Arabidopsis thaliana: one gene and its partner. The protein of the gene in region 1 purifies or fractionates together with the protein of each later gene. This does not show direct contact. Each region holds a gene or a part of one and is shown on either strand. Other genes may lie near its edges.

Region 1 (3,784 bases):
AAAGCTCGTTTGTACTGATGGAAAGGACGGTGTTCTCATAAGCACCAAGTTTTTAAACAACGTGGTGGGAACCAATCCCGAAGCCAAGACTTTGACAGTTGAGAGCGGTGTGACGTTAAGGCAGCTTATCGGAGAAGCGGCTGAATTGGAGCTGGCTTTGCCACACGCACCATATTGGTGGGGACTCACGGTTGGAGGATTGATGGGGACAGGTGCTCATGGAAGTTCGTTGTGGGGTAAAGGAAGTGCGGTTCATGATTATGTGAGTGAGATAAGAATGGTGAGTCCCGGTTTGGCTTCTGATGGGTATGTTAAGGTTCGGGTTCTTAGCGAGACAATAGATCCTGATGAATTTCGTGCAGCCAAAGTTTCTCTAGGCGTTCTAGGTGTTATCTCTCAAGTAACTTTCCAGTTGCAACCAATGTTCAAGAGATCGTTAACCTTTGTTATGCAAAACGATTCGGATTTCGGAGATCAAGCCGTGACTTTCGGGGAAAAACATGAGTTTGCAGATTTCTTATGGTTACCAAGCCAAGGCAAAGTGGTGTATCGAATGGACGACCGAGTTCCGGTCAACACTTCAGGCAATGGCTTGTTCGACTTTTTCCCATTCCGTCCACAACTCTCTGTAGCGTTAGCCATCATTAGATCCTTAGGTAAATTTATTCTTTGTTTCTCAAGATAACTAATACAAAATATATTTGATCATTTGCATAGTTTTTTTGGTAAAAAATATTTGATTTGCATAGTTATAATGTTTCTTATAAACAACTGCTTCATGATATGAAGAGGAGAGTGAAGAGTCATCCGGAGATGCAAACGACAAGTGTGCGAGAGCAGAGCAAATAACGTCGTTTTTGTTTTCCATCTCCTACGGTGTGACTAACAATGGTAAAAATATTCGTTCACTTACTTATGCATCTTTCTATTGTTTCCATATGTATGAGACTTTACAACTTTCTATCACATATTCATTTGTAATTTCCACGGGCAGGTATGGAATTCACAGGCTATCCGGTGATCGGAAAGCAAAACCATATGATGTCGTCGGGTACATGTCTAGACAGCCATCAGGACGGACTGATCACGTCTTGTCCTTGGGATCCACGGATAAAAGGCCAATTCTTTCACCAAACAGCATTCAGTATCCCTCTCACACGTGTCAAAGGTTTCATCAACGACATCAAAGCACTCGTAAAGATTGAACCGAAATCTCTCTGCGCCCTTGAACGCAGCAATGGTATCCTCATCCGTTATGTGACATCCTCTCCTGCTTTTCTTGGGAAAGAAGAAAAAGCTTTAGATTTTGACCTAACTTACTACCGAAGCAAAGATGATCCCTTAGCACCACGTCTCTACGAGGATTTCATCGAAGAGATCGAACAAATGGCGATATTTAAATACAATGCATTGCCACATTGGGGGAAGAATAGGAACCTAGCGTTTGATGGCGTGATTAGAAAGTACAAGAACGCAAACACGTTTTTGAAAGTAAAAGAGAGATTTGATCCTTTAGGGTTGTTTTCGACGGAATGGACCAACCAAATTCTAGGTTTAAAAGGAAACGTGACGATTGTGAAAGAAGGATGTGCCTTGGAAGGACTTTGTGTTTGTTCGGATGATGCTCATTGTGCTCCCAAGAAAGGTTATTTGTGTCGACCAGGTAAAGTTTATACAAAGGCTAGAGTTTGTACTCATGTAAAATCAGTAAATGGCTATGACGATCATACCAAATTTAATTTGATGTTTAATCGTATATGAGAAAAGTGAAAACAGAACATTTTACAGAACAACGTCTTTTGTTCATTATGACAAGCTTAACAAGTTTTATGGTCGGTCACACGGGCCTTTGTTGTTGGGCTTTAGCCGGTTTATTTGGTTCAATTCGGTTTACATGGTTAGTCCTCGAATAAAATAATTTCGGTTTAAGATTTGTTACGGCTCCTCCGTCAATGTATCGTCGTTGATCCCAAATTTCTTCTGAACAATTTCGATTTTGAATTCGCGCTGAGTGATGAACGGCGCTTCTCCGGCTCATTCATTGGTTTCGACGACCGCCGTAGCTGGTGGAGGTGGAAGCAGTGGCGCCGCCGCTGGTCTAGACGATTTCCATTTTCCACCGGATATTCCCTCAATGCAAGAGCGAAAAGACGAAGCTATGCGTGGTCAGTTCTTACTCTTTTCCCTTTTCGTTTCATGATTTCGAATCTTAGGGTTTCAAATTAGAGGTTTTCTATAAGATTCGGTAATCAAATTTCTCAGTGATCAGAGATTTGAGTATCACATCTCCAAATTTAGGGTTTTTGATACTATCTGAAAATCCCAATTTTGTTTCCCTGAGTTTTTTTTATTTGGTTGATTGATTTGTTGATTTAACAGTAACTTCTTTAGATAATTAGTATTGCTAATTAATTACTAATAAATGATTAAGGACATGAGTAGATTAAGAAAAAGCTTGCTTCAGTTTCAAGTGTTTGTTTGAGATATGTTATGTAATAGGTTTGGTTTTTGTTTTGATGGTGTAGTTTTGAAAGCTGATTTGATGACTGAACTTGACAAAGAGGTTAAGTCTTTGGAAGAAGATAGTTGGATGTTCGAAGGTCCTCGTTCTCGAATCCATCTTATATCCAGAAGAGGTTAGTTTTCTTCTTCTTCAATCCTATTTTTCTGTATGTCACAAAGCTGTTTTCATGTGTACGTTTATATCAATCTTGAATAAGTTTTAACAGCAGTAATGATCCCAATGGTTCAAAATTTCATGTATTTGCCATTCTCTAGATTAGGCAAGTCGGTATGGTGAGAACATTTGATCGAATCTGCGGGTTTGTGTGTGTGTTTTCGGTGTTTCGTCATCACTAAGACACTCTACTGAAGTATATTTGTTTCTGATTAGGTAATTTTCTAAAGAAAGGAGGTGAAGTGAAGCTATGGTGAAATTAAGCTTTGTTCAGCTTCCTAGATGATCGGATTCATTCAAGTAAGAAATATCAGAAATGGTCGTATACGCTTTGTTTCGTGTTCTTCACAAATGTCACTAAAACGTTAACTTTATATTTTCCCATTGTAAGGGACAAAATAGTATTTCTATGGTGTTAATATACAAGTGAGGAAATCATTATTCGGCTAATGAGTCTATTACTCGAAAATGAAATTTCAATATTCTCAAGAATATAGATAATCAACTTTCATCAAAGACAATTTTTAAGTTTGAATAATTAATTTAAAATCCAGATATTTTTCTTGATTTTTTGTCTAACTTGGTACTTTTTATTAGTTCCTTTAAAAAAATTAGGTTATTATCATCTTCCCAAAACAAAGATTCTACTATATGTACGGAAAAAGAAGTACCAAAAGGTCATTATTAAATCCCAAAACTTGTTTACCTATTTTTATCAGGAATCAATTGATCACCACTACCTAAAAACCACAAATTGCTTAAGTTTGTTAACACTGATTGACAAGTGTCATACAAGTAATCCCATTTGCCACGTGTCATGTCCTTTTTATGTAACCTAGGACTTGAAAACCACAAGTGCAAGCAAATAACCTAGATGACACTTGTTAGAGAACGACGTCACCAAGAACCTCTCACACTCTCTATTCCACCACTTATTTACCACGGCACCGCCTTCTCCGTGGCATCTTCTTCATCGTCAAGCCCTGAAACATCGCCGATTCAAACCTTAAACGATCTCGAGAAACTCTCCGTTTTAGGACAAGGAAGCGGTGGGACAGTCTACAAAACCCGTCACCGGAGAACCAAAACGCTTTACGCCTTAAAAGT
Region 2 (4,621 bases), 4.9 Mb from region 1:
TATATGGAGTATTTTTATGAAACAAGAATTGTGAGAATTATGAATCTTACCTCTTACAATTCTTACATATTTTTGGATTACACCAACAAAATAAGATATTTTGAGCTGAGTGCCTGTTTTTCTTGGCTTTTACTCTTTTTTTTTTTTTTTAAACATTCTAGGTTAGCTTAACAAAAACAACAAGCAAACAAAACCTTAGGATGGGAGTTAAGTCATTACAAACTTAGCAGCAACCTATACTCTCAATACTCACTACAAATAAGCCCCATGATTCTCCATCTTCCTCAAACCATTTCCACCTCAAGAAATAAATCATCAGAGCCTCACACATCAAACACAAGTAATGGCCTCCACGGATTCAGTTTACCGTCCCACACCAACTCCAGACCATGACACTACTGTTGTAGTAGTTGTGTTTGTTTCTTTGGGTTGTGTCATGTTCTTGGCGTTTCTAGCGTTTGTTATCTGGTTCTTGATCAAGAAGAGATCCAGGAAGCACCGTGAGAGATCTGAAGCGGTTCGCGTGGATGAACACTTTAAGATGAAGGAAGCTATAGTCGAAGGACCTAATGGACAAAAGTCTGTGGTGTTATCAGTTGAGGATGATGTTAAGATCGAAGACGCGATCAAGAGAGAAGAGAAAGATCTGAAGAAAGATGGTGGAGTTGGATCATCAGTCGTTTCCCGTTCGTGAATGAGCTTTCTTCATTCATAATGTTACCTATCTATTTATTTATATTAAAATTGTGGTTGTGTGTGAATCATTTGTTTGGTGAAATAAAAAAAAAGCATCTGAAATATTTATTTAAATTCTTTGGACAAAGATGGTTCTTCAAACTTGGGTTGGTGAATGGTGATGGTTTTTATGTTCTAGGAGCGAACTTTTATCTCTATCTCTCTAAGAAAAGTAATCTTTCAAAAAAAACTGTAGAGAAATAAAATAGATAGTTGTTTTTGGTTAAAACAGATAATTTGTAACTGTAACTCGATAAGAATATTAATTAAAAAAAACATACAATGTCAAATGAAATCATACTTAAAATTGGACATTTTTCTATTTGAAAACTTGGTATTGGTATACTAACACATATACCATGTTAATCTTCTCATTATAGTTCTACTTAATATTTACCAAAACAAAACAAAAAAAACAATTATACGTATTTAATTAACAAAACAAATACATTAATTCTGAAGATGGAGAAAAAAATTGTGTCTTGATAATGCTAACTTACCAAGTCTCCATACATGATAAGAAAATTACACACACATATATATATATATATATAAATATGTCATATATAAGTTTATTTTTGAGCTAAATCTTCAAAAAGTTTCTATTGTAATTTCTAAGCTTAAACAAAAATTGATACATTCATTGTCTAATACTGTTCTGGTTGAATTCAATTTTATATTCAATTAAAATTAATATTTTCTTACCAAACATCACATTCATACATAAAATAAACATTGGAATTATCATTCTGAAACTAATACAACATTTAAATATTAGAAATCCTATAAAATAAAAATTCGTCCTTTCTTTTCTTTGTCAACCATAAGATCCAATGGCTCGTTGAATACGTAGTTACGTACAACTGGCATTCTCGTGTACAAAGTCACTAAAACAAAAACAAAATCCATTATAGATATTAAAACGACTAAATTTAATTATAGCAATAACAATTGAACAGCAAGATCACAAATTTAGAATTCAAGAGCTTAAAAAATTCATTAAAAGTAGAAAAATACAAAAATAATACATTAAAATTCAAAGTTCATATAATTGGAAGTAAAAAGAAATTTTTTTATCACTCTCAAGTTTTGTCTTAAATGGGACAAATTTAACTTTTTAAACAAAACCCACAGAATCTCAAACCAGTTAGCACCCCTTGTTTCACCCCACGGTTTGTTTAACGAACAACAGCCAACCACCAAATTACTATTATACCCTCATCACCATTTGACTATTTATTAGTCCACACTCTATAGTAGTTGTTACATTCAAAGAACTCCAAAGTAAATTAAAGTCTTCTCTACTTCACCATAAAAAATGCTTGCGCACAAGTCTCTTCTCTCCTTTACCACCCAATGGGCTACACTAATGCCATCTCCGTCTACTTTTCTCGCCTCTCGCCCCCGTGGACCGGCCAAGATCTCGGCCGTGGCAGCACCAGTGAGGCCGGCTCTAAAACACCAAAACAAAATCCACACCATGCCACCGGAGAAAATGGAGATATTCAAATCTTTAGATGGATGGGCCAAGGATCAAATCTTGCCTCTTCTCAAACCCGTTGACCAATGTTGGCAACCCGCTTCTTTCTTACCCGACCCGGCCTTACCCTTCTCCGAGTTTACCGACCAGGTACGTTATATACATCATGAATCTTGTTATTCTCTTATTTATGAAGAAGTAGAAGTTATTACAAAGTTTATAACTTTGTCATGAAATGTATAAACCAGAATACCTATACTATATAATATGCACATTAAACCAAGACTAACCAATAAATGAAAAGATGTTAAAATGTGTATTTATAATGATAGGTTCGTGAGCTGAGGGAAAGAACGGCCTCGCTGCCAGACGAATACTTCGTGGTGTTGGTTGGAGATATGATAACGGAGGACGCGTTGCCTACTTACCAGACGATGATCAACACCCTTGATGGCGTAAGGGACGAGACTGGTGCGAGTGAGAGCGCGTGGGCAAGTTGGACACGAGCGTGGACGGCTGAGGAGAACCGTCATGGTGATTTGTTGCGGACTTACTTGTACTTATCCGGTCGTGTTGATATGCTTATGGTTGAACGCACCGTTCAGCATCTCATCGGCTCGGGCATGGTCAGTTCTCTTTCTATACCTTTATGTCATGATGTAAAAATGCTTATACTAGTTTCATTAGTTTAGTAGTTTTCTGATTTATTTATTTGTTTGTGTCATTTTAATTTTTTTTTATTTGGTTTGGTTAAGTTATTTTTTTTGTTATGCATGTGTGGAAACGTAAACATAACCAAAACTATTTGCCATTTTGTTTGTTTTGATCTGGTATGATAAAATTTTAATTTGGTTTTTGGTTTGAATACATTTTGGACGATTTAAAAAGAAAAAAAAATCCACCTTTTAATAATAATAAAAATTAATAATATATTATGTAAGATATATAGAAAATAAATTCTGATTTTTTTGTTTGTTTAGTTCGCTTACAATAACATAAGCTTTGGGTTTAAATGTTTTTAAATAATAGAACGAATTGATCACAAACAATTTCAATCTAAGTATTTTAGTAGTTTACGTTTGGTTGGTCCGGATTAGGTTTGGTTGGTTCGGGTTAGGTTTATACCATTCATAACTTTTCATATTGGCAACTTCAGGATCCAGGAACTGAGAACAATCCATACTTAGGTTTCGTGTACACGTCATTCCAAGAGCGAGCCACATTTGTGTCTCACGGCAACACGGCAAGGCTAGCCAAGTCCGCAGGAGATCCTGTCCTCGCTCGCATCTGCGGAACCATTGCAGCTGACGAGAAGCGCCATGAAAACGCTTACGTACGCATCGTTGAGAAGCTCCTCGAGATCGACCCTAACGGTGCAGTCTCAGCCGTGGCCGACATGATGCGGAAGAAGATCACAATGCCGGCTCATCTAATGACAGACGGTCGAGACCCGATGCTATTCGAACATTTCTCCGCCGTGGCTCAGCGGCTAGAGGTTTACACGGCGGATGATTACGCTGACATCTTGGAGTTTTTGGTTGGACGGTGGAGATTGGAGAAGCTAGAAGGATTGACGGGTGAGGGCCAACGTGCACAGGAGTTTGTGTGTGGGTTAGCTCAGAGGATTAGACGCCTTCAAGAGCGTGCAGACGAGAGAGCTAAGAAGCTTAAGAAGACCCATGAGGTTTGCTTTAGTTGGATCTTCGATAAGCAGATTAGTGTGTAAACTCTTGAAAATATCAAACTTTTCCTTTCTCCGTTTCTTGTTTTTTTTTTTCTTTTTTGTAATGCAAATCTTTGTTCTTAGGAAAATTTAATGTTAAGTTTCTATCTATGTAACGTGTTTTTAACTTAAAATTTGTATAATTTAAACATGGCTCAAACGGATAATTTTTTTTTTTGTTAACTTAGAGTAAATCCTTGAACCTATGGACTAATTCCAGAGGAGAGGGTATCCTATGGGTAAGGTCTCCCCATGTTTTCAAATAGGCCTTAAGCAATAGGTCCATTCCCATGTGCCAAAGGGACATGGCTAAGCAATTGTGCATCTGAGGAGAATTGATACCTAGCCTAGACCAAACAAGACAACTCTTCCACCAGACTAGAACCACTAGCCCACCACCTCTGGTTAAACTGATAAATTAACTAAGTTTTTGTTGACCAATCCGGACAATCCGATTTGACCCGATCCAAACCAAAACGAAAATAATTGATTTAGAAAACTCGATCGAAAACCTATTTTTATAACAAGTCAATAATATGTTTGATTAAAATCGGAAACCCGAACCGAAACCATAACCAAAACCAAACTGAAATCTAGATGAACATCTAATATTTTGGATTTTATTGTTAATTTAGATTTGGGAATTGTTCTCTCTTATCGTTTAGATGGTAATTATGTTTACG

What was found. The genes of interacting proteins can lie anywhere in the genome.
Region 2: the proteins of SAMBA (region 1) and FTM1 purify together in Arabidopsis thaliana (affinity purification with mass spectrometry, with the first as the bait; one large-scale study listed by BioGRID). This does not show direct contact.

What each region holds. Positions count from the first base shown.
Region 1 is NC_003070.9:11,651,605-11,655,388, forward strand, and holds SAMBA (valine-tRNA ligase), read left to right. Parts: upstream 1-1,895; 5' UTR 1,896-2,014; coding exon 2,015-2,165; intron 2,166-2,525; coding exon 2,526-2,636; intron 2,637-2,893; coding exon 2,894-2,934; 3' UTR 2,935-3,229; downstream 3,230-3,784. Other genes in the region: GulLO1 (D-arabinono-1,4-lactone oxidase family protein), read left to right, coding at 1-656, 790-891, 995-1,761; MKK10 (MAP kinase kinase 10), read left to right, coding at 3,552-3,784. UniProt on the Arabidopsis thaliana protein: Plays an important role in organ size control. Acts as negative regulator of the anaphase-promoting complex/cyclosome (APC/C). Regulates cell proliferation during early development by targeting CYCA2-3 for APC/C-mediated degradation.
Region 2 is NC_003070.9:16,575,609-16,580,229, forward strand, and holds FTM1 (Plant stearoyl-acyl-carrier-protein desaturase family protein), read left to right. Parts: upstream 1-1,912; 5' UTR 1,913-2,053; coding exon 2,054-2,365; intron 2,366-2,547; coding exon 2,548-2,841; intron 2,842-3,371; coding exon 3,372-3,941; 3' UTR 3,942-4,114; downstream 4,115-4,621. Other genes in the region: TED6 (tracheary element differentiation-related 6), read left to right, coding at 344-694. UniProt on the Arabidopsis thaliana protein: Converts stearoyl-ACP to oleoyl-ACP by introduction of a cis double bond between carbons 9 and 10 of the acyl chain.